4 linked regions of the Drosophila melanogaster genome follow. The protein of the gene in region 1 interacts with the protein of each later gene in a pairwise test. Each region holds a gene or a part of one and is shown on either strand. Other genes may lie near its edges.

Region 1 (9,072 bases):
TTTGGGATGATGGATCTTAATTATTATGATCCATTCTCAGCGTTTGTCTAAGTGATGGGACGTGACTGGGCGTTTCTACGTTCATATTTTGGGGAGTGCTAATCGCTGATGTTAACGGAAGTGGGGACTGTTAATTAACAGAGCGGTGCGATAAGAACGGGCGACTCCTCGGAGCTTCTCAAAAGCTCAGCTGCTAGGATGCGCAACTTTAACGAAGCTTCGATCGTTAGCTTTCGGCGAGCTTTTCGATGAGCTTCCTTATCACGCGGCATTATTATTAGCTAATTATGACTAAGTTGGTAATAGAGTGATAAGCCTTCGGCCAGAAGCTCGTCGTAAAAAACTTGTTAGCCTGAAGAACAGCTAATCAATCCGTGCCGATAAGCCTCACCCGCTGTTTGCTGATAGCTGTGGCTGTAGCTGCTTAAGAAGTGATTTTTGCTAGTGGCCCTAAAATGTTGGCCATAAACCATACGCCGCAACCACTGTCACTCGCACTGATAACCGATATCGAGCTGAGTGAGTGGTGATGGTGTATTGGGATTGGCGGTGTCTGGCGGCGCAATATCACAGGCTTAATTTGGCCATAATTGGGCCAACTCAAATCGGATTTACTCGTCAGACTTTTGACATCGCCCCGCATTTACGGCTCTTCCAAAGTGCGATAGTGATCGGTTGCCGACTTATTGATGTGCAACAACAACAACGTATACCCCTTTATGGCATTCCAATTGCCAGCTGGATCGTAATTGAAGCTCATTATGGTGCCACAGGCGGAAGCCTTAGTGCCCATTGACCAAGATCCATGGCAGCCTCTTCCTAGCCCCAAGGTTCTGCTTCTTATCTGTGCGGCTTATCAGGGCAATGGAAACTGCTGACGTTTTGGGTTGCGCAACAGGTTGTTGGCATCGCCACCTCGCAGTGCTGCCCCCTTTTATTTACGGCTGTAAATACGGGGGGCAATTAAGACGTGGTCAACAATACGGCAAGATCCACGCACACGGCTCGAAAATGTCAGGTGCTCTAGCAGCCGAGAAGGTCTCTGATTTCGTGGCTAAAACTGTGGGGCTTCGTCTTATCAGCTGGCCACGAGGTTGGGCCACTCGAAAGGCGATTGCTCAGACTATGATTTGTGAAAGGCATTGTAATGACTAGACAGACAATTTGCTAATTACTGGCAAATAACTCTTATTTCTGTTGCTCTGATAGCACTCGGCAGTGACCTAGGCTACGAATTCCTTTTGCTCTTCCACGAAGGCTGGTCAGCAGTTAATTTATGGTTCGATGTGGCCTCTAATCGTGATATTTTTTATTTTTGCTGGCAATACGTATGTATATGCAGTCCATTTGATAATGGCGATAAGGATGGAGTGACTCTGGAATTTGGCTGAAGCTCATGCATTATGCAACGGCCCCGTCCTAAAGTCTTGAATTGGAACTACACTCTGCTCAATGGCGGCTGGGACACCGCCGTTGATAACCTGCTAACCCCACGGCAGAGCACCTTATCAAGTGGCAAAGCAACCAAGTTAATCGCAGTTCCGAGTGGCTGCGGTTTGTCAAGCACAAATACAATGGTGGCGTGGGATTGAATGACATCAACCAACTGTGAAGAATCACCGGGTTTTGGCCAAGTCAGGCACAATTACCATACAGGAACTGCCATAACAGACACTTGAACTGGCCCAATTTGAGTCGGGCCAACTGTTCCGTGTCCGACCGGTTTCTCAATCATATGATGTGACTTTACAACTGGGCCAAATCTCGATCGATTCGTTTAATAGAGCCAACAATCTGGATCTGGCGATGGTGCACGCGATTCGCAACTCGATTGATTTATCAAATTTGATTAGCACAAACTCGTGAGTTCCCCCCTCCAAAAGATCTTAATCGAAGGCATGTGCCAACTTATATAAAATCGAGACTTCGTTTAGTTAGTCACTAATTACTTGAACAGTTTGGTCATTATTAAACTCATCGTACTAATGAGATCATCTGTTTTATTAAACATTGTTTAAAAGGAGCAATTGAAATCGCTTTTCAAAGTCTGACCTCTAATGTCAAAACTTAAGTAAAATAATCTGTAAATAAACAAGAATTTGTATTTCTCTTTTTACCCCTTTTATGAGATATTTCTGCTAACAACTTTATCAGACGCTGCGACCTTCAAGGCAGCCGAAAAAAAATGTTCATATTGTTTGGTTTCATTTTTCGTTTTTTTTTTTGGTGGGAGTGTGAGTTCAAGTTCTCGAATTGCGCAGATAAAACTTCGATTCCAAGCTAGCCAAACCAATGCCGCGATTCTATGTAGAAGATAAACTGAAATATTTACAAGTGGTCACATAAGACATTGCTACTTATGGTATCATAAAATGATCAATTTGGCGCAGGCACTATGCAAAATCGCCTGATCCAAGGCCAAAAATTCCGTTTCTTACTTATCAGGGCGCTTTTCATTTTATAGAACCGAGAACCGAGAATCGTGTGACCCCGCCAATCGAGTTGCTATACTTATTTTTCAATGATAATTTTGATAAGACCGCCACACCAGCCGTCGTCTAATTAGTATACAAAAACAACAATGGTCGGGGCAAACATATATGAATGTATATACACATATATAGGTACATACATATATTTGTGTAGCTAAAAGCTAAAGTAGAACAAGCGGACCGAACTAATGTATGCGCACACAGAGTGGAAATGTTTTCCAAAAAGCCAAAACGTCCAAAAAGCATGGCACAGTTCTTTAAAAATAAACATTCTCCGTTAGAGTCGGTTTTCAGCACAAGGCAAGTGTTAAATGAATGTCACACGAAGAAGTCCTCCCACTTTCATTCGTAGAATGATGGTCATATCTGTATCTATTGCAGTTGAACTTCTAATTACTCGCTCTGATAGTTGCGCAATCGTGGGATCACTGACAATTACCTTCGCCCCTGCAAGCTTGCCCATCATCAGGTGCAAATGCTAAATAATGCACATAATTACCAGTTAATAATGCGGCAGTCGGTAAACAACAATATTAATAAACGTATAAATGTGCAGGCAATGTGCCCGCCCGCCTGGGTGTTTTCGATTGTTCTTCGCTTGTTTGATCACTATTCAAGTATTCAAGTATCCAACTATTCAACTATTCAAAGCAGCCAGTGGCGGCGCTGTGGGAGTGGGAACTCTACTTTTTATGGCTAGACGATAGGCGATAAGGCAGAAATGGAAAGCTGAATGCTGAAAGCCAAGATAACCGAGACATAGTCAAATATTTGAATAAAATTAACATTTATCGGCCATTATACGCGTGCCAAAGCAGAATTCGCACTCGAAAACACGCACTCCACTCCACTCACTCATTCACTCTCCTCAAGATATGGAAATATTCCACCAACTTTCTGTTTCACTGTGTTATTTTTTTCCCTTTTTTTTCATTTACCCAGGAAGCAGATCACGATACTCAAAAGTGCATGCGCGCCAATTCGAAAACGCGTTTTGCGAACCACTTGTGCTGCCAGTCAACGCACTGCAGGCCTTTTTATATCGAAGCCACCTCTCTGCCCACCTGAGTCTTGATGAAATTTAGCGACAGCTTTGCTAATTAATTAACGCACACTCAAGCAGACCACGGAGAGCCAAACTAACCTGCGTTCCGATCGATCGTTTGTTTGCTATTGAGTGTGGAAAAGGCCTCCAGCTAAATACGCGCGATCGACTGCGAGTGGGCTGCGCAGTCGGCGTCGCAGCTGGACACCATGGCGTATGATTGCTCTAGCTATATGCTGCTGCTGCTTTCCAGCACAAGCAAGCAGTGCGAAGCTTGCTGAAAAACGCCAACTGCCAGCTGCTCAGTCGACGCTGCGTTCTTACGCCGGTGATGTGAGCTTTTGATAGCGTTATCAAGCAACTAAGTTCACTTTGATATGCGCTTTATTTCAAGCAGCGCAAACAGCTCGCAGCCGGCAAGCAGTGTAAAGCAGTGGACAGTGGAGTTTGGGAACGGGTTTTTGTTGATATCAATAAAAAACACGCTCATCATGATTCACCGAGTTCTTTCAATAACGCCAACGAAATATTTGATATTTCACAAGATTAGAGGCTGAATCTATCAATTTAAACTTTGATTATCTCATTAAATCCATGACAGGTGCATCACTTCTAAAACAACTTTGCTATTTACATTAGTTAAACAAATAAAGTCTAATATAAAACCCATACTTACGGACACAATAGTCACGCAGTCCCGAGTAAACAATTAAAAACCCAAAGTTCCCATATTTGGACACATGGAAGTCATGCAAACTGTGCAATTATAAGTTCGAATAAATATGACAGTCATACCTGTTTGCCTAATATTTCCGCCAATTATCAGAACACCTCAGATGCTGAGGTTGGTAGTGAAACCTAAAAAAAAAAAACACTTCAATTGGTCTCAAGTGGCGCTCCCCAACTGATAAAACAAATCAAAACTGATAGGAAGAGCAAGAGATAGACCAAATTAAATAATTAAAAGCGTGCTATAAAATAAATCAACAGATGACAAAATCCGTGGCAAGCGAGTGATTGTCAATTGAAAAACATCCATAAAATTTAAGTGGCGCGCCCTTTTTGATAAGAGCGTATCAAGAGGGAAGCGGGGATTAATGGCACTGTTTACACTTACCTTCAAGGTTGCGGTGATTGGAAAACTTACCCGTAAGATTCCTGGCTGGATTTTCATGGCACTCACTTCAGATAGCATTGCTTATCATCCACGACCAGCGGTACGTCACTTATCGAAAGCTTTATCGCGATGACGGATTCGGATTTCCTTGTGGCCTTGACACTCAAATCACTCGCCGACTTGCACCCAAAGCATTAGCATTAGCGGCGGAACACATTTGAAGTTCGATAATAAATTATGAACATAGACATAGAAACTATGTGTGCCAGCGATCGAGGTAGAAGCAATTTAGCTCGCTAGATTAATAAATAAATTCAATGAAACCGCAACGAATCAAAGACGCGAATAGAAGCGATTGATGTTTTCGAGAGTTGCTTATCGAGCAGCCATCGTAAACTCACGCGCATGTGACACAGTGTTCGATCCACTTTGGACTTTATATACTCATATACCATATTATTATTATTAATATTATTATTATTATATTATTTACTGGTCCAGGCCAGACTAGCTTGATTTATGGACACTTCGTTTCTGTCTAGCCGCGTCGGGAGTCACCGAAAATTGGTTAAACGGCCTGCGAAAATGCAAAATAAATAAACAAATGCGGCGGCATTTGTGTTTTCTTGTATTTGCAGTGCGGTTCTCGATGCCGCAGCCAAAAATAAATGTTGGCTTTCTGTTTTTGCTGCCTGGTAAGAGAGGGGGGGGGGGCTGGCAACGCTTATGCGCACGTGACGCATACTCAACGTGGCACCGAAAGTGTGTCAGAAATGGGTATACGAAATAGTTTTGTAATAAATAGCAAATGATGTCGCACCTTCTGCACGTTTGTTTGCCACTCGGTGGCTCTTCGCTGCTCATCTTCATTTGATGACCGATTTCCGCGGACTGCGGCTGTTGCACTGGCATTTCCCTCCTCGATTCCTCACTTCAACTCCAATTGTTTGGTCGCTACTTTATTCGCCTTTTCTCTCCACTTGTAAAGCACTTGACGCGGCGTAGCAACTAATTGAATTGCCCGTTTGCAATGGTAATTTTCATGAATCGACTGACTGACTGACTGACTATAGCTATACTACGGCTATAGCTGACTGGCGGAGAGTAAACGATGTCGATGTCGATGTCGCCGCTTAACAAAACCGAAGAGCAAAAGCCAAAGCGCCCATCAAAATCAAATATCGCGCAAAAAAAAAAGGCATGCCATAAAATCGAGGCAGCAAAAACCGTAAGTGCCATTAGACACGATACCCAATCACCAGGTGGGTATATACCCCAAACGAATGCGATGCGCGTCAATCTAGATAGTGCCGAGGGTCTGATCAACGACTTCCTTAGCCATATAGCCGAACTACACAAGTGGAATTTTACCCGACCGAATTGAAATTGATAATGAACTAGCATTGGAGCATTGGAGGATGAGTAAGCCTTAAATACTCCACACAAAAAGATTACCCACAAAACGGCTTGAGATACAAAAAATGTTCGACTATTTCTGCTTTTTCATTACAAATACTTTCCTGTCAATAACTGACAGTGAAAACTGATGGTTACGTTGCGAAGGGATCATGCTACTTTGGACATCCATTAAAAATGTCTGCGTGGTATCCGCTTGGTCGAGTACATAAATTTTCCACTTGCCCTCGTGTTTTTTCGACTTTTGTTTTGATTCGACAGGTTTTCGGTGAACTATTACGTAGAGGGTCATCACAAATTGAAGTGATCTCTTTGAGGTTTTTTTTTTTTTTTGGGCAACCCATTTAATTGCTGCCGCAATTGCTTGCCATTGTTTCGCACAGTGTATGCTAGTTGGAGTTTATCACTCGTGTATGTACATGTATGGATTTATACAAAAAAGCCTTATAAATCCCCCATAGCAATTCCACATTGACGCAAAGATCGGCTTTTTATTTGATTAGTTTCATTCGCGTGCAATATGATGGGGTTGTTTTAGTGCTCTGCAATGGGGGCGGTTCTTTTTTTATCCACTATATTGGAGGCCCGCTTCGATATCACTTATCGGAAAGCAATTTATTGAGCGGACGAGTATTGCTCGGGTTGTAAAAACAAATGATAACCGTTTGTTCTGTGAGTAGACTGTAAATAGATAGCTGAAATGAGCTTACTGTGTTTATGAATTCATAAACGAATTTTATGGGAGTATAGGACTTCTGTTACTACCGTTACAAGGGTTTGCGATTGCCTGCAAGATACTTTCAAAAGATACTGCATACTTTACGGATGCTCTTCTAATGGGTGCATACTTTTGGGCATTTTTCTGATTTTCTATTTCTTTTCAACTCTTTTGCGAAAGTGCTTATTCTAGGTTCTCCTTAACGAATCATATTTTATAAATTTATTTTTGAAAATTCATTCAGCAAAGGTTCCAAAAACAAACGCAGCTCTTAAGATGTATTTATGGCGCCACTGAAAGCTTTTCAAGCTTTCGCTTGCATTTCCTAACGACCAGCTTTTTATACCCTTAAAAGGGGGTATTACGGAATTAGTAAGAGCTTTACAAAGCAGTGGTAGAAAAATGTTCTTCTTATAATTAACTAATTGTTTGTAATAAAATGTACATCTTCATTTGTTAAAGGATGTGATATATGAACCCCAGTGGTGGAAGTAGCTACTGGGGTGGGTTGTTTTTTTAGGGATCATAAATAATAATAATACCTCCGTTTCTAATTATAAAATTCTTAGATTGGATATATACCAAATATAACCAAATGGTAAGCGATTAAAAAGAAATGAGGCATTATGTTTTTATATAAATGAATATGCAGTATATTTACATATATCTTAATTACTTCAGCCATAATTTGATAGCAACTGTATGTAGTGCTTAGAACTTTTTAAATAAATTAAACATTAGCATTAGTATCCGCTCCATTTTCTATTATTTTCAAGCAGCGCCGTGTGGACATTAACTTGACGTATTCGAGAGATCAAAAATAACCGACTCACGGCGATTAACAGGAATTAACATGTATCGCTAAAGTCGGCCAAATATTGACAATCGGCCGAGGCGAGTGAGTGACGGAGATCGGATGTATCCGGTCCAGCGATGAGAAGCAGGATTGGAAGGAGGAGGAGCAGGAGGTGCTGGTGGTGCTGGAGGCCCTGGAACTGGTTAATGTGAGTACGTATACGTATAATCGATTTCACACTACTTTTTAATCACTACAAAACATTTATTGTTTGCCCGCAGCGAGAAAAGTCAAACAAAAAGCGGCGACGAGTCGGAATGGGTCGAATGGCTGAACAAATTGACTCGGCCACATAATTAGGCACTTGCCCATGTCCACAGCTTGTACGATATATCCATACACATTTGTATTTGTACATATACATATGTATATCCCTTCGATTCCGTGCAGTTGAAAGTATCTCACGCAGTGGGACAAAAGGTTTTTATTGTGCGTACCCGTTGACAGCCTCAATCGACGGGGTTTGGTCGAAACTTACCTTTTGGGTCGCATCGTTTGTTATATTTGTTATTTATTTTGCGGTTATAATACTTATGCACTGGCCGGGACGGAAAAATATTGGCATCCATTCAGCGGGACAAAACATCACGGCGTTTTTACAGTTTCTCGAGCCGCGACCGGATGATAAATTAGCTTTGTACGTAAATTCAAAATGGAAAATCAGTATGTGAAAATATCCCCAGCTCGAGTCGAGTCGAGTAATTGTGTAAATATCTTGTCGCTGCATGACAATACCAGACATCCCCATTCCGCCTTTCTTTGCCGCACAATGAATGCCACATTATTATTTTGTAGTTTGTCAACCAAGCCGAGTCGAACCCAACCCCGAAAAAGGCGTTTTTCGAGACGGGTGATGAGATGGGAGATGGGAGATGGGAGATGAGAGATGATAATTCAATGTCGCTCGGCCAGCGCACGGATGCAGATACAATATCTTTTTATACACATGATGACCGCGCAGGCCAAAGGAATTGTAATTACGTGTCCGTCGCCTTGTGCCGCATTTGTATCTTCATTTGTATCTGTATCTGCATTGCGAGTATCTGTATCTCTGTATCTCCAACAAAGGCATCAGCATAACAATGCACCCATTTCTGTAAGCTCCGGATCTGAACTTCTCCCCCTCCCCCCTCCACCCAGCAACGCGCTGTTTCGCTTAATAAGCGCCTAAATAGTGTCAATGATTAATTGCTTTTGTGATTAGATGGAAATTTAATAGATTTTTTATTGTCTGCCCGGGCAAATTGAAATTCTATCAAGGTACAAACACAAATGCTGGAGGCACGTCTGCTCGTTTTTGTCTCTGCAACGGCATCGTTATTACCCTCCTCACAGCTTCAGTTCAGTTATTTGTCAGGCGGGCAAAAGAGCCGCATCATTGTTACCAATTTCGAATTCAAATTGAAATTCACACGCGTCACGCTGCCC
Region 2 (6,495 bases), on another chromosome or scaffold:
AGAGAGAAGACAGTCATATACGTAAAGCCATTTGAAAACTATTACGCCCAGGAGATTCATTCAAGTAGTGCGGCATTTATAACTCAAATGTTGCCCAAGTAACAAAAAAGCCTAAAAACTCGAGCACAACGGCAGGAGTTCAGCTGTGGAGAAGGATTTCCAGAAAGCCAGTTAGTGATGAGAAACGAATTAGGAATATATTATGTATTCCTTCATGGTAGGGCTATATAAAAATAACGTACAGACAATTCAAAAATATCACATATATAGTTGTAATATGTTATATCTGGCTAAATCAGTGGTAGTTCTTTCTTGTAAATGTTGAAACACTAGAAAAACTTTGCCCATCTCTGTTGAAGGGTATGGGAATAACGAACTATGGCAGGAATATGAAGAAACTCTGGATACATTCGAGCCAATGGCGAAAACGGCAACACAGAACGGCATTCTCTGTGCTTGCTTTTTATTAGAATGCGTCCATGGAGACGTGGGCGCCAGCCATTGTCTGGCAGCCTCCTCCTCCATGAATCCCTATCGCCTTCAGAGCGAGTATATATTGTATAATATATATTGTGCCTGTGCAGCTCGCTATACATTTCTTAGCACGTAGTTACCTATGGCAGCAACTGGAACAACAATGCCACTTGAAACAACAATAAAAAGTTTGTTGAATACAGATACTCGTATATGTGGACAACTCCCTATGCCGCCATGAAAAAAGAAAGAGAAATAAAATATAAACTTTCTACACCTAACTGGCAAAACATGAAGCCATAGCAATCTAGTTTGTAATGTAAAGCTGCTTACTAACTACGTTTATATTTTAAATACATTTTGTAGCACATATTTCAAACATTTAATCGCACTTTTTGGTCTAGGTTTTAATTGGGCATTATCTTTACTATTATTATAAAATTCTCTATGATGAGGCTTTTTACACTCCTTCCGGTTTCCAAGTCTCGACGACCGCGCTAACATATTGATTACAGTTAGGCGGCAAGGTTAAAATCCTGGACTTAACTATTGGCTCGTTCTTCTTTAAACAACGCAACATGTTGTGCATATTTCTTTCGGCCTTTGCCACGTTTTTAATGTCGGGCGTCACACCGTTAGATCCCAGGACTCCACACAACAGAAGCAGGATCAAAAAGTGCGTTCCGTGCATCTTTACAACTTGGTGAATGCTAACGATTGATATTCTTTGTAGTTGCTTTAAATAACATGAGATGAAATCGTTAATTGGCATAACAAATTGAATTGGTTAAAGGAAAATATGTTATAGATATTCGAAATGGTTTATTACAATAGGGGTTATATAACCTAGTATATGACCAAAACATATTTCTCTACTGCTTCGGATTTATCAACCGATTATCGATCCAATACCAGGACAATTATATTTTATATCTCCAGTTTATTCCAAATATACTATATATTTAAATCCTTGATCAATGCTTTTTAATATACATTAATTTGAGAATAAAATAATTAGCTTGTACACAAATTAAACGATAACAAATAAATAAAAAACATAATAAGTTCACATTTTATAGAATCTTTTATTCTTTTTCTCACAACATAGAATGTTGTTTAATTAATATTTATTACATTATGATTCACATTGGAATCAGCATCTTTTTGGGCCACAGCGAAGCCAATAAGCAGCAAAAAATAACCCGCAAGGAACTTCATGTCTATCAGAAGAGAATAGAAATAAAACACAGACCCGGTTTTTATATAGTTTATAAGCCAAGTGTTGCATAAGCCAAGCGAATCGTTTAATTCTTTTAAACGGTGGCCAATTTTAATATCGTTAAATCATTTTTCTTTCGGTCGTACGAAAATCAAATCTTTTGAATATTACATTTGGTAAAATTGGTTTTGCTACATTTGGTTTTGGTACATTTGGTTTTGGTACATTTGGCATTGGCACCTTTGGTTTCGGTATCAGCGCTTTTTGAAACACTTGCGTTTTTAGCATAAAATATATATATTAAAATTTATATTTAATATAATTAGGCAAAAACATCTGATATACTGTCAGATTGTGACTAGTCGTAAAAGCCATGACCATTAATAAGTTTTGGCCAAACAAAGCTTCGAACAAAAGGTTTATGAAAAAATATATATGGTATATTCTTGTATACTAAAATAGATTTAATATTTCAACTTAAAATAAAATAAATAGGCCATTGCTATTACATGCAAACAATTAAGTAAATGTTTTATTGAATTCTGTGCCTGCAATTATCAAAAGCTCATTTACTTTGCGGCGCTGGGACTATTGATGTGGATCACATTCTTGTTTTCGTTGGTGTTCGGATCCGCAGATTGGGCGAAAGCCACACCGGCAAAGAGCAGAACAAGTGCAGAGGTGATCTTCATGTCGGCCAGTTGGAATTGGAAGTAATGACAAGCTAGGGGAGTGCTCTTCTTATAAGGCCTGGGTTGCGTAAGCGATACTAATCTAAATGCCAGACAATTTGAAATTAATTGCACGATGAAAGAAAAAGAAGTGGAACTAATTCCTTAAACCCGAGACATAATAGACCGATTACAATTTAAATAACACTTGATTCCTTTTGTCAATCTGACAAACATTTATATAATCTGAACTTACCTGGCACGGCGATAGAAATCTTTCTTGATTTCATAAAATTAGTATTAGTCTTTAGCAAGCATTTTTAAAAAGCACGCCAATGAAATTTACTAAGCCGAAAAAAAAAGTTTCTTCTTGAATTCAAATTCATAATCACACCTGTTTCAGAAGGATATGAGAAAGCAGTTGTCTGGTTACTATCTACCACAGTTCTCAATGACTTGTCGTGATAACAATAGTCAGTTAAAATAAAATTATTATTTTCCCAACAATATTGGGAAACGTAAATGAAATTTACTGAACCGAAGATACCTTTTTGTTGTTTGAATTCCAATTCATAATCACACCTGTTTCAGAAGGATCTATGACAGCAGTGGTCTGGTTACTATCTACTCCCATGTCTGGTTGGGGTTTCAAAAGTCAGTCCATGTAGTTTAATATTGTAATACATAGATTAAACACTCTCATAAACATATATTGTGATTAGCGATCCATTTTATTAGAAGAAAATAACCTCTGACTCATAATATTTAACTTTCGGCTGGAGCATCTGCGAGTCCTGCTTCAGGAGCAGCTGGAGCTGCGGCAGGAGCTGCGGCAGGAGGTGCGGCAGGAGCAGCAGCAGCTGCTGCGGCAGGTGCAGCTCCTGGCTTCTTGGCACCGATGACGATGACGTTGTGATTTGTATTCTGGCTCTTTTGGGCGCTAACCAAAGCCAGAACAACCAGCAAAGTGACGAAAAGAGCTAGGAACTTCATATCGGCCAGTTGGAAGTCAATTTAAAAGAAATGAGGAAATGCAAGACCGCTTATATAGGCAAAAAAGATCGCCAAGTGAAACAAATCTTCAAATTCGACACGCTTGACCTTATTATACGTGGTTCATTCGAGGAAAATAATGTAATTATCATTGGCATGTGTTTGATTATGCTGATATATAAAAAAAGGAATTAAGTGGAACCCAAGCATAAGTTACTTAAAATATAGAGCATAAGCTTTCAAAATATCATACAAAATATTTTTTTCTTGCATATTGCTGTTACAATCACAATTTCGTGTGTGAAGTGAAACGAATTTGGCTGTTAGTTAACCGTAAGCTACGACGTTGAAGTGCAGTCTAAAAATCTCATAATGAAAGTGTCACGAACTTTAATCGTTGTAGGTTCTCTGCTCCTGATTCTCAGCATCGTATTAACCTACAAATGGATAGCATACAATCATGCTTACCCGAAAGCACAAACAGAACTAACGAATTCGACGAAGAAAGCAAATCTCATCGATAGCAAGGCTAAGAATAAAAAGCACGTGCAGAATTCCTTAGCCAAAAAGGCAGCCAAGTCGGTGGCCAACCAATCCAAGTTCAAATTGGACAAGGTTTCTAAGAAAATTCCAGTCATACCCCTGCTCGATGTTCTTAAGGCCAAAAAGCAGCCAAGTCGTGGACAAAATATATTCTTCCATGAAACCACGAATTTCAAGCGGATAGAAAAGAGCTCTGTGGTCCAATTGACGGCACGGGAGGCCTGTGCCATTGAATCGGCCGCCCTTCACAATCCAGGCCTCACTGTATTTGTACTTTTTGCCGGCGCCACTCATCGCCCATCAAGTGGAGATCCGCTGATCAGGGCTGTTCACACATGAACACGAATATATTTAAAGACTTACAATTTTGGGCTCCGTTCATATCTTATGTAAATGAATCGAGAGCGATAAATTATATTTAGGATTTTGTTATCTAAGGCGACATGGGTGCATTGCTCAAAAACATGTAATTTAAGTGCACACTACATGAGTCAGTCACTTGAGATCGTTCCCCGCCTCCTAAAATAGTCCCTTAGTGGGAGACCACAGATAAGGTCCTCGCCGCTCAAGATAGGCAGATGTGCCCGAGCGTGGGACCTCGATAAGGCGGGGACTATTTACTTAGGCCTCTGCGTAGGCCATTTACTTTAAGATGCGATTCTCATGTCACCTATTTAAACCGAAGATATTTCCAAATAAAATCAGTTTCTTACAAAAACTCAACGAGTAAAGTCTTCTTATTTGGGATTTTACATTTGGTCAATCGAGCCTTTAATCGACTCTGCAGTTTCCCCCTACCAAAGGTAAGGAACTCAGAGAAAGGCCAGCTCCTTTAAGCATCTTACAGCTAAAGGTAGCAAAAATAAGTGACTCTTGTTTCCCCCTACCAAAGGTAAGGAACAGAGTATAAATATAAAAAGCAAAAGATACAAAAGAATCTTTTATGTTTTAAAACAAGCACCTTATAGTCTATAGCTAAAGGTTGCTTTGTGTACCATTATAAATTGTGGTAAGGCGTGCTTGAGGCCATACATCAGCAATTGTGGAATTAAAAAGTGCATAACAAAAGTGCCTTATAAATGCTCTAATAGCATTAAATCAGCTCATAAATAGAGTGCAGTGTATATGCCATAAGAGCATAAATTAAATAAAAAGTGCCTGAAAACAGTGCCTTATAAATGCTCTAATAGCATTAAATCAGCTCATAAATAGAGTGCAGTGTATATGCCAAAAGAGCATAAATGCCGAAATAAATGGCTAAAAAACAAAAAATCTGACTGGACTACAAAAATAATAAAACGTGCCAAAAAAAAAAAAAAAAAAAAAAAAAAAAAAAAAAAAAATCATCTTTAAACATCGACGGAGCCTTAAAGAAGAGAAGGAAGTCAAATTCAAAGGAGCCTCTACCAGCAGCAGAAGCAGCAACAACAGCAGCAGCAGAAGCAGCAACAGCAGTAGCAACAGCAGCAACAACAGCAGCAACAGCAGCAGCAACAACAACGACATCAGCTAAGTCAAAACAAGAATTTTCTGTTTATCCAAACACACATATATATATAAATACATATAAAATACATATACACGTACTATATATATTAAGAAATTACAAAAAATTTTCAAAATGATGTCAGAAAAGACTATTCAATTCCTTAAGAAGCAGTCCGAAATTATTTTGGAAATTAGAAAGTTGGAAGTAAAACCAACATTAACAGATGTAGAAATTCTAAAATTAAATGAGCTTCAAAAATGTTTCATTGCTAATCATAGCAATTTGTTAAAGATCGGCGTTGTCGATCATGAATATTTTAACGCGAAGCAGTATGATTTAATAATGATGGTGTTAGAAAAAATTAAAAATAAAAATGAAAAAATTAAGGGCGAGTCGGTAGAAAACACTTTCCCTAAATCAAACACTGTCCCTAAATCAAACCCTCCCCCTACATTAAACCTTGAAATGCGTGGTCACCCTGAAAAAGAGGGTATAGCACAAAACAACGCTTTAAAAGTAGAGCAGGCATTTCGTAATAATGTTGGCCAATTTCGAGTATATCTAGAAGATACGTCTAAACTAATAGACAGTAGTCCAGATTTCCTTAAAATAAGGAAAAATAAAATTGAATTTTTATGGCATAAAATAGATAACCTGATTGAACAGGTGAATAGTCATTTTGAGAGTTCGCTATTCGAAGAAGAAATTAGCGAACTTGAATTTGACAAACAAAATATTCTTACAGCCATTAATAGTCGACTCAGTGGCACAATAAATAAAGCTGAAATGTCGACGGTTGTTAAGGCGGAGGAGTTACCAACCCTGCCTAAAATACAGATTCCCACCTTCTTTGGTGATTCCAAAGAATGGGATCTTTTTAATGAACTCTTTACAGAGCTCATACATGTGAGAGAGGATCTCAGTCCTTCTCTCAAATTTAATTATCTAAAGTCAGCATTAAAAGGAGAAGCCAGAAATGTGGTTACTCATTTACTGCTCGGCTCTGGAGAAAATTATGAAGCCACTTGGGAGTTTTTGACCAAGCGATATGAGAATAAAAGAAACATATTCTCAGATCATATGAATAGGCTTATGGATATGCCAAA
Region 3 (7,012 bases), on another chromosome or scaffold:
CGAGGGCAAAGAAATTCGCAATTAATCACAATTAAAAACGGCCTGAAATTTCTTCTTCTTTTTTATACCGCCATGTATACCTTTAACTCATGTACATACATACATATATACATGGCTATTTTATATATATATATATTGTATATATTATTACATTCTTTTGCACCCTTTGTCCACGTCATCCGCATTTAATTATGGAAATGTTAATTTGCTTAGCACTTCAGAGCAGCGACCCCCAGTTACCCATTATTCCCCGGCGCTTTTTCACAGTTTTTCAAACGCATTTTCCCCGGGCTCCGCCGCTCAACTGGCTCCACCTGGCGGTGGCGAGTCAGCGAAAATGTTCATGTTTAGTTTTTTTTTTTTTTTGCCATCACGCCATTAATTTTCAATTAACACTATGCCAGAAGCAGACGACGCGGACAACGACAATGATTATGGCAAATGGCTGGCGGATTATGGGTGGCGCAAGTGGGCAAGTGGTGCTCCTTTGAAAGTGGAGTCGACACCGTCTGGGTCACCGTTAGTCAATGGCACAATGCTCTAATCAGGGCGTAGGTATTGGTCCAAGTGCAAAGCTGACGAAGAGCGCGTCAAAATGATACCCTGGGAAATGAGGTGCCGTGCAAACTTAACTTTTGTTGAGAAATTAAATGATTCTGCGGGAACTGGTTCTTGGCAGATATAGTATATATATTATATTACTGCATTATTTAGTATTCAATTAACAGTTTAGATAATGAACTTCAATTATTGCAATGAAATAAATGTTGAAACCTCTACCAAATGAACTTTTTAAAAGTAATGGGCATCTGCGAGCCTCATACTCTTCCTGAGCCATGTTATTTCTTATTTATTGCCTCGTTCGTGCTTTCATTGGCACCCAACTTAACCTGGGCCAACCCAAGTGGTCCTGGCCCAATCCCCAACTAAACCGAAAGCAAAACCAGCCCCAACTTCCTGTCCACCTGTAGTTCATTTCATTTACCGCTTGTCCCTAACAAAGTTCAATCCTTTGTTGTTAACCCAGCCCAGGTCCCCCCCCTCCCCTACCACCTTTTCCTTTAGCCCTCTTTTGGGGGCGCCCCTGTCGTTTGTGCTTACGCCATTAACTTAAAGTGCCATTGGCTCCGAGATCGGTGTAGGGGAAAAGCCGGAGGAACATCAGAGCATCAGAGCATCTGGCCATCTGCGTAGTCTGGGAGCACTTAACTTAAGCGCTCTAATTGTATTAAAAGCGTGTCCTTTCCCGCCTACGGCTGACCCACCCCCTCTCTTCACCACCCTCTCCGCATATATCTATATATCCCGCCATATCCTTAACCACTTCTCCTTCTGGGCGGACAGAGCAATGCCACATAGTTGACGTTGACGTAATGTCTCGTCCCGGCTCGCCTCGTCTCGTCACGCTTTTGGCCTGGCCAGCATCTCGTTTTTCCCCGGCTAATTCGGCTAAGTGATTTTCATGAGTGCGTGCCAGGGCTGCGAGCCCGGTTTAATCTGACTTATGGTTTAATTAGGGTCAAGCGAAAGGGGTTCCCTATGCCTCTTCGGCATTGCAATTAGTGCCGATAAACCCGAACAAGGCGAAAACTTATTTGTGGAGCTGCATGCGTTTGCATTTATACACAGAAAAAACTGTGATAAAGAAATGATTATATTATTGCAATAGGTGCAATTGAGTTTTAAAGAAATAAGTTCTATATCACATCATTATTATATTTATATATGTTTACATACATTTTAATTTTTAGTTTTATAGCTACCAATGTTACCCAAAAATACTGTTGAATTTGCCAAATCTTTCTTCTTCAAATCTCTAATCAATTTCGTCGACTTTTTTCGCCGTGTAGCATCCATTTGTGGCTTTGTTACAATCTTTCCGTTCGCAATGTGCTCCGGTTCACCTTTTCGGCCCACTTTGTCAGCTTCTTCCTGCCCGCTCCTCCACTTGGCCTCCTTCTTGGTTGCTTATTTTTGGCTTGAAAACGCGAGTACAACGCACCCTCCACATTCCATGGCTTTCAAGATTAAAAAAATGGCCAAACCGTTAAAAAAAGGCATAGTTTTTACATCCTAATTGCCAATACTAACCACTTTTTGACTGACTTTGTGTAATTTTATTCACAACTTTTACACTTGCCAACAAAAGAGTAACACTTATCGCGAATGTGTGCCCTTTTCGCCACTTGGCAATTAAAAAGTTGTCGCCAGCAAAATTAAATTAAAATGAAAACATTTGTCAAATCGAGACTATACAGTCATCGCAAGGAGTCCACAGACATTCGCGTGAAGAATTGAGAATGCAGCATTAGAGGAGTGACAATGTATTCAATGTATATTTCAGAAAAAAAGCAATTATAAGGCGAACAAAACATTACAATGAAATCCGTACGCTAATGAAAGATCAAATACTTGAGCAGCCATTGCCCGGCAACAACACAGCACAAGCTGATCAATATTTCCCATAGGGGGGGCACACTGCGCTCCAGAGGCATCAATCCACGTCGCTTCATATCTAATTTAATGACATACACATCGATGGTCATGATGATGGCAAAAAGCGGAACGAAGATATTATTCTTATGCGGAGTGATCTGGATTTAAACAATGGTTGCAGTAATTTATTACAATGGTACAATAAGTGTGTACATATTGTAAATCTTTGTACTTACAAATACAATGGAGTATATCATTAGCATGTACGCTCTCACCAGTAAAAAGTGTGTGAGGGCTCGAAAGCGCCGCGAATTGAAGTCCTTTAAAATCAAAAGATTGCTTGGCCATCCGAAGAAAACGATCATGAAATCTATAAAATTTATTAACTACGAATTTTGGTTAGGTGCAATTAGTCCTTTACTTGCTGCCCACCATTAAATAAAGGGCTACCATTTACTCACCAATCGAAGGACACCGATGTTGAGGGTATAAAAGAATACCAATAAATCGATACTTTTCGAGATTTTCCAGTTGATGCGCCTTTCGCAACATGATAGAGGTATCTTGAGATTGGTGTGCACAACGCGGCAAAAGTGATCACTGATCTGCTCGAAGAATGTCATGCCGAAATGTACAAATAAATTTTCCAAATTTATAAAAGAATGTATAAATAGGTGCTTCGTTCAAGTCAAAGGGGATGACTGACTGAAAGGCAATGAATGAAAATCGAAAACGATTTGGGCATTAAATCATGGCCAACTACTCCCGCTGGCTGTGCAAGGACACTTGGCCTTCTTCTTGGTAGCTTATTTTTGTCTTGAAAATGCGAATAACTGGCAATTTCTGGCCGGGTCTTCCACACACCATACCACACTCTACACAGCACACACACCGCACACACACCGCGCCGTCGACATTCCATGGCTTTCGCATGGCTGGAATCTGGGTAAATGTTAATTAAGCATCATTTACGCATTCAGGCCGCCATAATTTGCAGCGACAATGACACTGACAGCGCCACAATGTTGCGACAACTTTGACAAGCCCGCCAGCCAGGACACAGAAACGGAGTCTTGGAGTCCTAGAGACACGGAGACACAGAGCCCGACCCTTTACCCCATTTACCCATTTACCACACTGTCACTCGGCACGCAGTCAAATTTAATGTAACATAAAAGGTTTTCCATTTCATTCACCATCCTACTTAATGTATATCTGGGACGTAATGGTTCCATTAGGACAACCGCAAATGTTCCAGAACATTGCAGTTGGCATTTGCCTGGATGTCTGGGGAAAAGAAATTGTTCAATAAGCAGATATCTGAAAGAAACGATTGACTTGGCTGGTAGATTGTTCGGACTACGTGGCTTATGACAAATGTTCAAAGCTCAGTGTTACTCACATTACGTATACGCGGTGTAAACCATGCCCAAGACTAATAAAAGAACAAAACTTGTATGTTGTTTTACATTTGGGGGCAGCTTATAGATATTTTTATAAATTTATTATTGCAGAAATCTGGGTAGAGCGGTATGGCCTTATCTATGTCCTGGTCCTGGCAACGATTCCCCTTTTGTCCGAGTCCCGGTGCCACACCATCTGCTGTTGGTGTCCCACTGTCCTACCAAACGTCCAATGGCCGCTTATCTTTCCCAGACAATGGACAATGTGGCCGTGGATTAGCTCAGCCAAACGGTTATTTAGCGGCGTCCAGAGCGAGGATTGTCTTCACCATTCACCTCCTCCTTTCAAGGACTCCGCCAAATTGTGGCCACAAAGCGGCCGGGTGAAGTGCGCCCAACAGCTGGCCAACAAAATTCAGAGATGGCCAACAATACATCCAACAATGCCAACGTCCAACGACCAACACAAAAAGCAACAAATCGCCAACTGTAGAAACAAAATAATAATAAAGACAAGCAGCAACATGGAATGGCGGAGCACAAAACCGAAATAGCAAATAAAATTGCACAGCAAGGATGAAAATGGAACGAGTGCAGGAAAGGAAGAAGAAGACAAGGAAAGGAGCTAGGGAGTCCTGCAGAAGAATTACGTTAAAAGCCAAGAATAACGATGGTACAAAGAAATTCGGTGGAACAACACGTGACTTACCCTAAGGGTTAAGTAAAATAAAAAAATAATAATTATTAACTTGGAGTATTACTTTTTTTTAATTAAGTTGTTGGATGAACAGGTATTGTGTACATATGTACATATATGTGCTTCACAGTCATTGCAATCAAAATGTAAACACTATACTAAATTCAACACAATTTAAATTTCCTTGTTTTATGAATATGTTTATACTTTTGCATTGCTTATACACATTTACACATACACTGCAAATACTATACAATATGTGTATTATATTTAATTAAACTAATGCTAAAACAGTTAAAACCGAAAATAACATCACTCGATATTACAGGGTATCGCCGATAAAGTAAGAGGGCAAGTTAGGGTCGCAAGTCGCGCACACATTTCTCACACCAAATGCAAATAAAACGACGCCTTGGAATTGAAATAGAAATAGAAAATTGCCAAACAAAAATGGCAGCATAAACTTTTGCTGTTTGCCACTTCCGTACGTCATTCGTTCTGCTTTCACCTCCTTTCTCCGTAGGTCGTAACTCTCGCACACACACACACACAAAATAAGAAAGGAGAAAGCGAATAAGACACAGTGGCACATATACGCACAAAAGTCTGCTGCTTGTCGACATTTTGGTAATAAATTGAGTTTTATGGCAGTCATATTATTCTTTATTAGTGGGTAAGAATTGTTGCCTTTTGTTGGCTTTTGTTGCCGAAACGATGTCTCAACCAGGCCAACATCCTTGCCATCCCGAGCATACCGAGCATCGTGAATCCTTAACCCACAATGGCTAGATATCACTGGTTCGGTTCCGAAGTGCCTACTCTGTGTGGCTTAATTAATTTGGCAGTGTTTTGCGACTTGGTTGTCAATGGATTGGACGGAATTCCCAGTAGCCCTCGACCGAATCAATCAACGACAACGCCACGGCCCTCGTATATTTACTCTTTCATTTCCCAGTAACGTGGCTGGTAAATCAAAAACTCTCATCCAAAATTCGTTACTTGGCGTTAAATTAGTCTCGGCTTTCGAACTTCGCGGGCATACTAATCAGGTCCAAGGCGTCCGCCCAAAATGGGATAATCCGTCAATCGAAGCTCGCAATTTTCACAGCTGTCAACGCAAGTCAGATTGGTTATTTCAAATAGCATTGCCTAGAAGTATAATAAAATGTTTTAAAATAAACATTTCAATACAAAACAAATGGTAAACGGGCTTAATTATTATTAATTATTTTAATTATTATTTCGATATTTCATTAAAGTGTTTCTTTGTTAAATTAGAACTTTCGATTTGGTGCAGTATTTCGAGTTTCTTTCCGTGTAGCGATGTATTGTATCATCAAGGCCATTCAATTAGCAATCATGGAGAGCCCGCCAGCTTCTCGTACCTGATGATCCATGAAACGTTCGAATAGAGAGCGCCCAAAACTTTTGCCTCATTTCCGGAAGCACTCGAGTCCTGGATCAGAGGAGCCACAAAACTGTGCATAATGCTCCGCCCGAGCAATTTATCATCCTCAGTTCCAGTTCCCGCGAGGCTGTCGGCCAAAAACCAGCGGGCGGTAGTAGAAAAAAAATTTGGCGGCGAGTGGGCCGAAACCTTTTTGGTGGGGGTGCCAATGGAATGTGGAAGGGCGGTGGCCGATGATTAATTGCTTGAATGTCCAGTCGAGCAGAAAATTCACAAAACATTTCCATCATCAAAGCACACAACTGATTTTTCTGTGGAAAAGTGAATCCTGTCAACGATGAAACGAAGGCAGACAGCTCTTTAAGTCCAATGTAGGAATATTGCTCTCTGTCAGTTTGATTTCAAGTTATTTGCCTAATTGCGAGTATAGTTTATTTGCTTTCACATTTATTCGTTGCTAATTGCACATTTCAAGTTTCAATGCCTTTCATTGCAGACTAATTAAATGCTTAAATGCCATATATTTGCTTTCACTTAACAACTGCTTGTACGCATGAACAAAAAACAATCAATGGATAGACATAACTGAAAGTAAACAAGTTCAAGGGAAATTTCTGGAAATATAAAATTATGAAATAAATCAGACACGAAAATTAGGTAAGTTTCGTCAATAATTGTTGGCTCCTGTCATATTAATTAGGTGGGAATTACAGCGTTTATTATTGAAATTTATAAAGTCATATATGTAAGTTTACAATGCATTACTTTTATTTTATTTGAATTGTGGAAGAATTTGCTTTTAAGATTCTTTATTTTTTATTTAACATTTATTTGCAACCCATTTATAATATTCCGAATTCTAGCAGTAATGTACTCAAAAGTTGACTGATGAAACGTAAACAAAAATTCTTTCTCACAATATATGAAAATATTAATATAGCCATCACTGCCACAATTGTCACTTCAACAATTCCATAAAAAGAAACCCACAGTCAAAATTTTCGGCACTTTAAGCATGGAGTTGGAACAAAACTTGACCGCCGCCCTGATGCAGTCGTCGGCGGAGGA
Region 4 (8,775 bases), 9.8 Mb from region 1:
AGTAGTTGTTTATGACCAACTATGCATTTGCAAGCTGTTCATGTGCAATTACTTAAAATGTTATAAAAACTATGTGGGAGCTTTTTTGTCTCATAAAAACCGATTATTAGGTAAATGTGGTATTATGGTTGAATTATGGATTTAATTAGTTTTTAGTTTCTATGCTTATAGTTTTGGTATAACCATTTGATGTATAACAAAAAATCCAAATCGAATGAAAATTATGAGCTTTTTTTAAGCCAAAATTGTTGTGCAGAAACCACAACTACCGAAATTGTTGCACACTAAAAACCAAGTACAACTTTTTCCAGAACTATTTCTCTGCCATTTAAATGCTAGAATTTCGGTTAAAAACCCCAGTGAACTAATTTTCCAATTGCCAGCTGTTGTGGACCCACAAAAGCGCCGACGAAATAACACTTGCAGCCAGAATAGTGCAATTAAAAATTCCTTGCCTAAGGGAAACGGAGGAGAAATGCCTCTTATTCACATTGCGCATACGCCACGTTGGACGCTCTGGTTTTGGTTGGGCAATTAGCGAATTCAGAGGCGGAGGCTGGGCTTTTGTAATCAGCTGAAATTTCGATTTAATTAGATTACCACACAAACACACACACACACACACAAAGGCGCAGATGCTTGGCTGGTTACCATTTCCCCGCAGAAGCCCCTCATCCAACTCATACTACATATATGCTGCTGCACTTGCCGCTTGCTCAAGCGTCATTAATTTTTTGCCATTTGGGTTTTCTTCGCTTGGATTTTTTTTCCCCCCCGCATTCGAGCCATTGCCAAAGACAATAAAACCGCACAAAGCTACAGCAAATATCGGTGAAGCCGCAAAATTGCATACTTCCAAGGCAGAAGAATGGGTCTGAGCGCCCATTCGACGACCCCCGGGCTCAATTACCTAAGCACGGATCAGCTTTGAGGCAATGCCAATCGGCATCAAGCGAAATCTGGCAAATCTGCCAAATTATTTCAATTAAAATTGAATTTGTAATGCAAGGGTAGAGCCTGTGCGAAATGACGAATGGGGGAATACGCTGCTATAAATTGGAAGTTTATAAAAATAATAATGGGCTTGTTGTTTGAAATATTTGGATTCACGGATGTGCAACTTCTATTGATAATTTGATAATTTGTAGAATTTTAGCAGGAGCCCAACGAAATGCAAATATCCCTTTGAAATACCCTCCACACATCCAACATTCATTGGGCAATCGCTTACACTCGAATCGCCAGCAGTGCAGCGATGAGCCAATGAAAGACTTTTGGCCAGACATGCGATATATTGGCCATAATCAGGCGGCTCTAATCAGAATCGGAGGCAGCATTGCATTGACCCATGCCGGCATTCACAATTGCCCATTCGCTGCGGCCGGCGAATGCAACAATTCAGCATTTGTAGAATGCAGAGTGCGGAATGCAGAATGCAGAATGCAGAATTAGCAGCTTCGACTTTCGGCTTTTGCCAGCTCATCATCATCATCAGCAGCAGCAGCAGCAGCAGCACCATCATCGGACGGACTCAAATATCAAACTGTGAATATTTTAGGTTTGTCATTTGAAATTCAAAAGCGTGCCCGAATGAATGCCAGTCAATGCTACCAATCGTTTCTCGAATTCTTTGCCACCAGTTCTGCAATTTTCGCGTGCGAAAATGAGCAGCTGGAATCATGGGCATTAATATGCAGCAGCAGTTGGGCATTACTAGCTGGTGTGGGTGCTCGACGTATTCGTACTCTGTACCCTATAGTTGGCTAGCTGGGTAGTTGGCCAGTTGAGTCTCCCCCGGGCTGAAATTAACATGTAAAACATGCTCGCCCCGATGTTCTCAAAAGCCCGTGCACTCGACTGGCCAGCGGCCATTTGTCTATCGAGTGTCTGCCTTTTGGTGGGCGGATGTGGCAGTGGGTGGTTGGGCTCCTGGTTTTTATTTTTGGCTTGGTACGCTTCCGTGCCTGCTGTTATTCGCCCAGTTCGGGCCAAAACAAGAATGGTAAAAAAAAAGGAGAAGAAAATAAGGGGAATATAGCGGCATTGGGGAAATGGAGAATCGCTGGTGAAAAGTCAAAAAGTTACAAGCGGCAAATTACACGCGTCTGGCTGGAGTTCTACACTCTGCTCTCAAACTCTATTCCTTTGCTATCGTCTGGTGTACCTTTTGGAAGTTATCTGCTTGGCAGACCAGACGCATCAGAGATGGAGGAGTGCACTGCGAGAAAAACCGCTGAAAAAAAACATGGCTAATAGAAGAACATTTAAGATCTAACACTTTGGCCTCAAACATTGCATATATATTGCGTTTATTTTAACTACTAGTTATGCTCGTCCATTAATCACGATTACGTTAATCGTAAAAATTCATTCGAGTAATTACATGATGTATGACCAATTAAATTTTAATTAGATATTGATTATGTCTTCTTTGAAAATCTTCATACATTTGAATGGCTTTCATTGAGTACCTATTAATATAATTTTATATCTCAATCTTTTTAGACACTTTTGGTTTTTGAAGAAATCTAATTTTTCTCCTGTGTGCTCACGTAACGCGGAATGGGCGGAGGTACATTGGATGGATTCCAGACAGTGTGGTCTGCCGTCTGGACCTGCATTGCATCCAAGTGTCGCACCAACAATTTAACACGCCCCAGTTACAAAAAATAAAAGGACATCAAGGAGCAGCCAGCGAAACTCGCGTCTGTTTTATTTTGTTGCCTGCTTAAGGGCGTCGTCCCAAAACGCGATTCAAAATGCTTTAACAATGGCGAACAAGTGAAAGTATTTCGCAGTTTACAAGTGTGCTCTTGATTGCGGGTTAACTTCTGGACTTCCAGGAAAAGTATTCAATACTGTAATTTCACAATAAAATTGTGAGAATATGGAGAATTTCCAAAGCGAAATGTGTAAATTAATAGGTAACAGAAAGGATTTTGGATCACCTAGAAATTTCTTAGTTGCACAACTCTTTCTGTGTCAATTTACAGCAATTTGAAACAAATTATATAAATATTTTTACGAAACTATATTAGTAAAGTATAAAGTATATTTTTCAACAATTTGATGAAAAAAAACTTGTGTCAATTTAGCACCAGCTAAGAAAAGTTTGCCTACAAAATAAAGTCAAGTTGGAGCCTTATATATTTGCAATTGTTCAAGGGGAGCAAAAAGGTTTGCAATTTTCCTCAGATGATGCCTAAATACGAAAGGGGAAATATATTACCAACATGTGTCCTCCGCCTTACAACCTTTTAGCCTTCTCCGAAACTCAAGTGTTTAGTTAGGAACAATCAGGGAGTATTGCTTAGATTTGGGGCGTATTTTACGTGGCACTTGGCAAACGCAGATGTTGCCAAATATTGAATGCGTATCCATGGAGGAGTACGTACAAGTACATATGTATATATATATATATATATTAACCAGAGCGGAGTGGAGCACTTAAGTGTCTTTGATTATTTGCAATTTGTTCGATTCGGCGGGGTTACTTTGGCCCCTTCGCCACTTGACTTTCGTGTGTGTGTGTGTGTGGACTTGGGTTTTGATTATGATGATGATGATGAGAGGCTCTGTGGCAGACGTGTGGCAAGTTATGCAATCATTTTCGTTGCCATTGACGGCAAGTGTTACCAAAAAAAAACGAAAAAAAAGGAAGGCAAACAGTTTGCCAGGCACTTGAAACAACCAGTTTGATGGGTAGTTGCCTTCAGTTCTCCTAGCAAATCTCATTTAAACTTTCCCCAAAAGCCGCAGCAGAAAAATGACATTGTAGACGAAAAAGGACACTGAGTGACCACGGGTCATTTTTCCCTGCCAGCGATAAACAAATTTGACATATAACAAGCTTAGCTTGCTGGCCTTTCCACACACATACACATACATGCAAACATACATACATATATAGTTTCGCTTTAGCCAAAGGACACGCCTGCGAAATCTCATATGATTTGTTTGGCCAACTGATTTATGTAGGCTTAGCTATGTTTTTTTTTTCCAGGCCCAGAAATACATGTCCTTGTTTTATGTACGTATGTATAAATACTCACAAGCAGGACGAACGACTTGAAGGACATCATTTTGTTAGTTGAGTTTCGATTTTACGTTCACAGACGATGGCAAAAAGTAGTGTATCCACAAACGCCGCTGGCTGAAGTTGAAATTGAATTGAATTAAATTAAATTCATTAGAGTTGTCAATTATTTCATTTATATTGTTTCGAGTTAATCGAGTGTCTTTTGTGTTATTTTTATGATTATTGCACACTATTTAATTTGTAGTCCTTCGCTTGCCACAATAGTTGTATTAACTCTTACTTTCACCGGGCGGGGGAGGGTTTTATTTTTTTATCACCGGTTGGATTTCTCAACTAGGAGGGGGCCTCAGTTAAAGAGGAGGTGGTTTTATCTTTTTAGGTTCGGCTAGATTGATTTCCTAGACAACCGCACGAAGTACACGAACGTTTTGAATTAGGTTAGACAATGGAGATGCGCTTGCTTTTTATAATAAACGCTCAAAGACGCTGGCAGCGACGTCGGCGGCGACGGCGACTGCGGCAGCGGCGGTAGCAGCGGCGTTCGCGTTGCCAACTGCACCTAAAAGTAACGAAAAAGCGGTTTGAACAATTGAGGCAAGTCTAGCGCCTAACTTCTAGATCATCTGCCTCCGTGGAGCTGGAGCCAAGAGCATCCACATCCACGAGTCTCTCAGAATGGCCCAAAGAGAGCGCAGCGTTGCTCTCACCGTTTTGGCCAAGTCTTGGTGTTGAGGTGGTGAAAAATGTTGCAGATCATCGCCGTGGCACGATCATTACGATGATGGGTAACGAGATGATAAATGAATGGCTGGCACGATGATGATGAAGCTCGGGCGGATGTATAACAAGATGAGTTCGAGTGGAGAGCCTGCAACGCCCCGAATGACTTCATTAAATACTCGGCCAAATTTGATATTTAAGCCAAGCTTTTATGAAGTCTGGGCCCTCGGGCGATGCAGTTGCCATCGAGACGATACGAAAATGTCACTGGGAATGTCAGATGATAGGTTTCGTTTTAGCCTCCAAAGATACAGTCGCCCTTTTTCGAAATATCTATATATTTATTTTTGTTTGTTTTTTCTTCTTTTTTTTTTTTTTGCCATTTGGCCTTTGGGAAAGCATCAGAACATAGAATAAGTTTGGTGAGAAGTACGTGATGCGGTTGCCCGGGGAAAATTGCACAAGCTGCACAAACGTGTTCATGTGGCGTCCCAATTTCCCGCAGCACCTCTGCCAAAATGCAATCTATGACGTGAGGCTCATGCCAAAGATCCGTAGCCGAGGCCCCGAAACTCATCCATTGGCCATTGCACAAGGCTGGCAGACGTGTCGAGTGCCTTTGGGCCAACTTCCTCCTTCCAACCAACATCAACCGCATGGCTCCTTTTCTTCCGTCAGGCCTCAAATCCCATCCCATAACCAATTAACCTTGAATGTATCACAGCGCCTCTGTACGAGCCGAGATTAAATAACAATTAAAAGCAATCCGATGACTGATTTCAGAGTTTCTTCACATTTTTATTGACCACTTGCGAGGTGGCGATGTGTGCGTGCGTGCGATATTAAAATTAGATATTGAAATTATTATGGGGAGCAATCAATCGAAAATAGCTACACTTACAATCAACCCATCTTATAATCAGTGATGCGAAAATCTTGTACCAAAATCGAAATGTTATTACCAATTACACTGGGCTATGACTAAAACTATTATTAATATAATATTATATATTTGTAATATTAGATATGGTATTAGTTTTCAATAGCTGCAATCTTAAAGATACTCTAATATCTCAATATCTTATTTTTATAAGCAATTTTATTAGATTTTATTAGTTTGGTACCCATTTTCCAAGGTAACATTTCGTGTACCTAAGATGTTACCTCTATCAGCGCCGCTTACACCTGCTGGCAATCTTCAATGGACCGCTGTGAAAAGTAATTGAACAACTTTTGGTTACTTTTAACTTTAGATTTCCGTGACACTTGAGCTGCGGATACACATGTGCGCGCGTGTGTGTATGTGGTGTGTGTGTATCTCAAACGGTCTTCTTCACGCGGAGGCGAACGTACTGTCAAAACGATGTCTTAACAACATAATACCCGCCGACAATCGGGGCCAACTGGCAACTGAAAACTACCAACTGGTCCGATTGTTCGGATTGTTGGGATTGTTACCCATATCGCAAACTCTGGGGGCAAATTGAAATTTCTTTTGAGACGCTCTCGAAATCAAGTGCAATCGTTGGTAGCTGCGATTACGAAAGGATTTCGACTTAAAATGTAATTAGAGCAGTGTGATGGGGCGAATTCGATATTATATAAGGCCGCGCTGAAAATTCCCTTTTTGATTTGTTCAACAATAACTTGACATCAATTGGGCAACTTTTGTTTCGCTGTCATTGCCTTTCGGCCGGCAGCTGTTGCCACCGTTGCAGTCTCGGTTTCTTCGGCATTTCGATCATTTTTCAAAACGTCCAAAGTAATAAAGTTTTGCAAATTTCCCGCTTTTAATTCATCAAGTGGACACTCGAGGGCTCCGGCTCCAAAGCAATGCGAAACGGAAGCAAAACTTAGTCAAACATTTCGTGGGCTTCAATAGCCATTTGTGCATTATTTCACTTATTTTTTCTCGTTTCTGTCGCCCAGCTGTTGACATTTTAAACTTTATTGAATTGTTGCAGGCAAGTGGAAGACGAAATAAAAAAAAAATTAACATTTAAAAGAACAGACTCAAATTCTTCGGCAGAAGCATTTAAGATGATTTTTTCCTCGAATTTGTTTTGCCCATTTCGTGCAACATTCAGGCGAATCACCTGTTGATGCTTGTTGCACGTTGTTGCTGCTGCCGCTGCTGCTGTTGCTGCTTTTAGTGTTGCAGTTGCTGTAGAACCAAAATAAATTCCAATAGCCCCAGTCAGGCGCACCTTTTTCAAGCTAAAAATGAGTGAATTAGAATAGCCAACTATGTAATTGCCGCATTTTATTGCCACCAGCATTGGATGTTGCTGCTGCTGCAGCAGTTGTTGCTGTTGCTGCTGCCATCGCTGGCATTGTTAGTGTTGTCGCGACCATTGTTGCAACTAAGCGCGGTGTTTTTTTTGTTGCAGCGGCAACTTGATGTTGCTGCCGCCATGGCCCTCTGAATTTGGTGTGAGAAGTGGTCGAAAACGCGGCGATCTTTGTTTTATTTTCCAGTTTTGAGTCCAGACGGATGATTTGCATTTATTTCGGCGCGGAGGCGCGTTTCTTACCATTTGCTATTTATAGACTAAATGTCTTGGACTTCTGATGGAATAAATGGAGTTTTCGATAGACTCGCGGTGAAGGCGCATCAAATGTCGTCCGATTCGCTTGGCATTTCCCCCACGATCATCGATTTTCTAACTGGCATTCGAAGTACAGGTAAAATAATTTGCATAATATATTTCTTAAATTTTGTTTTGTACTGTTCCTGCTTGTATTAATTTCTGCTGTGCTCATTAAAAACTTGTAGTGTAATGATCGCCTGAAAGTTGCTAACGGCTTCTTTGATTGCTTTCATTACGGCCATCTCCTTTTGGCACTTCCTTCTGATTTGATTTGATCTCTTTGCCGGAGTTTCCTGTTGATTGCTCTCATTATTCCAGCGAGCAACTGTGATAAGTTTTTCCAGCTATGCTGCTGCTACTCCTGCAACAATCTTGGGGCTAAAGTCGAGCTTTCCCTGTCACTTGCCACACTTGCCACCATTTTTCTTAATGGAAATTTTCATGCTCTTGGCTTTTCTTTAGACAAATTAAGCGAATTTTTTCTGCGTTCACACCTTCCCCAACTGGTGCATCCTCATTGTCATCGTCATCTTCTGCACTTGCGTTCATTGCACCCTCAAAAAAAAAAGCATACACACACACACACAGAAAAGAAAAAGAAAACGGATAAAACATAAGACCTGAGGAAAGAAGAATGAATTCGAGGCAGAAAAAAGTTGTGGAAAACTTTGCACCTAACATAAATCACATCTCAGACCAAGTCAACCGCCCCTTGGCCACGCCCATTGTCAGTGTGTGTGTGGGGCTGCATTTGCATATTCCAATTTTGCATTTAATCAATTTACGCCCACCCACCCACACGCAAAAACACTGCGTTACAATGGAGGATGGCAACTCTGGCAGCTAGACAATTACCAGCATTCCCCGACATCGCCTGCCTGCTCGCATCATTTATCCTTGTTAATTTTTATTTAGTCAGTCAAAGGAGGGAAAAAATCCCTCAGCTTCAGCTTCAGCTTCAGATTCAGCTTCAGTTTCCCTCTGGGTTACATCCCGAGATCTTGAGCGATTGAGCCGTAACCTGCGTTGACTTGTTTACGTGTTTTCTCCGGAGCACGGATACAAAAGCTCAACAACAGATACGGATTCATTCCGGCAACTCTGTGGGTGGGTGGCACCTGCAGTCCATTCGGCATCTGACTGACTGCAGCAGACGGCGAACAAGTTAAGCGGAAACGGGGGACAGAGGACGAGGGACATCGGAACAAGGACGAAGCTGATTGAGACACATGTCCAACGGGCAGTGGCATTAACTTGTAGTCAATTAAATGCGCCCTGAATCAGGTTAATCAATTGATGCCATTCCCTGGAACTTTTTTAAGGTACGATTCCCTAATAGAGTCTGTATTTCATTATTCACTTAAATGTACAAGCTTTAAAGGCTGCAAAATGAAAGTAATAATTACATATACATACTCATAGTAT

The links.
Region 2: the proteins of Eglp2 (region 1) and Mst57Da interact in a two-hybrid assay, tested with the Drosophila melanogaster proteins (one large-scale study listed by BioGRID).
Region 3: the proteins of Eglp2 (region 1) and CG32588 interact in a two-hybrid assay, tested with the Drosophila melanogaster proteins (one large-scale study listed by BioGRID).
Region 4: the proteins of Eglp2 (region 1) and Cpr50Cb interact in a two-hybrid assay, tested with the Drosophila melanogaster proteins (one large-scale study listed by BioGRID).

The regions. Positions count from the first base shown.
Region 1 is NT_033778.4:23,611,037-23,620,108, forward strand, and holds the start of Eglp2 (entomoglyceroporin 2), read right to left. Parts: upstream 5,719-9,072; 5' UTR 5,567-5,718; coding exon 5,475-5,566; intron 3,675-5,474; exon of another isoform or gene 3,431-3,674; intron 1-3,430.
Region 2 is NT_033777.3:25,828,520-25,835,014, forward strand, and holds Mst57Da (Male-specific RNA 57Da), read right to left. Parts: upstream 3,381-6,495; 5' UTR 3,358-3,380; coding exon 3,130-3,357; 3' UTR 3,056-3,129; downstream 1-3,055. Other genes in the region: Mst57Dc (Male-specific transcript 57Dc), read right to left, coding at 935-1,165; Sfp96F (seminal fluid protein 96F), read right to left, coding at 1,591-1,692; Mst57Db (Male-specific RNA 57Db), read right to left, coding at 2,263-2,385. UniProt on the Drosophila melanogaster protein: Transferred from male to female during mating and may affect egglaying and behavior after mating.
Region 3 is NC_004354.4:15,203,497-15,210,508, forward strand, and holds CG32588 (uncharacterized protein), read right to left. Parts: upstream 3,141-7,012; 5' UTR 3,060-3,140; coding exon 2,898-3,059; intron 2,823-2,897; coding exon 2,673-2,822; intron 2,595-2,672; coding exon 2,394-2,594; 3' UTR 2,311-2,393; downstream 1-2,310. Other genes in the region: CG5662 (uncharacterized protein), read left to right, coding at 6,960-7,012.
Region 4 is NT_033778.4:13,790,483-13,799,257, reverse strand, and holds the start of Cpr50Cb (cuticular protein 50Cb), read right to left. Parts: upstream 4,482-8,775; 5' UTR 4,320-4,481; intron 4,154-4,319; 5' UTR 4,083-4,153; coding exon 4,053-4,082; intron 1-4,052.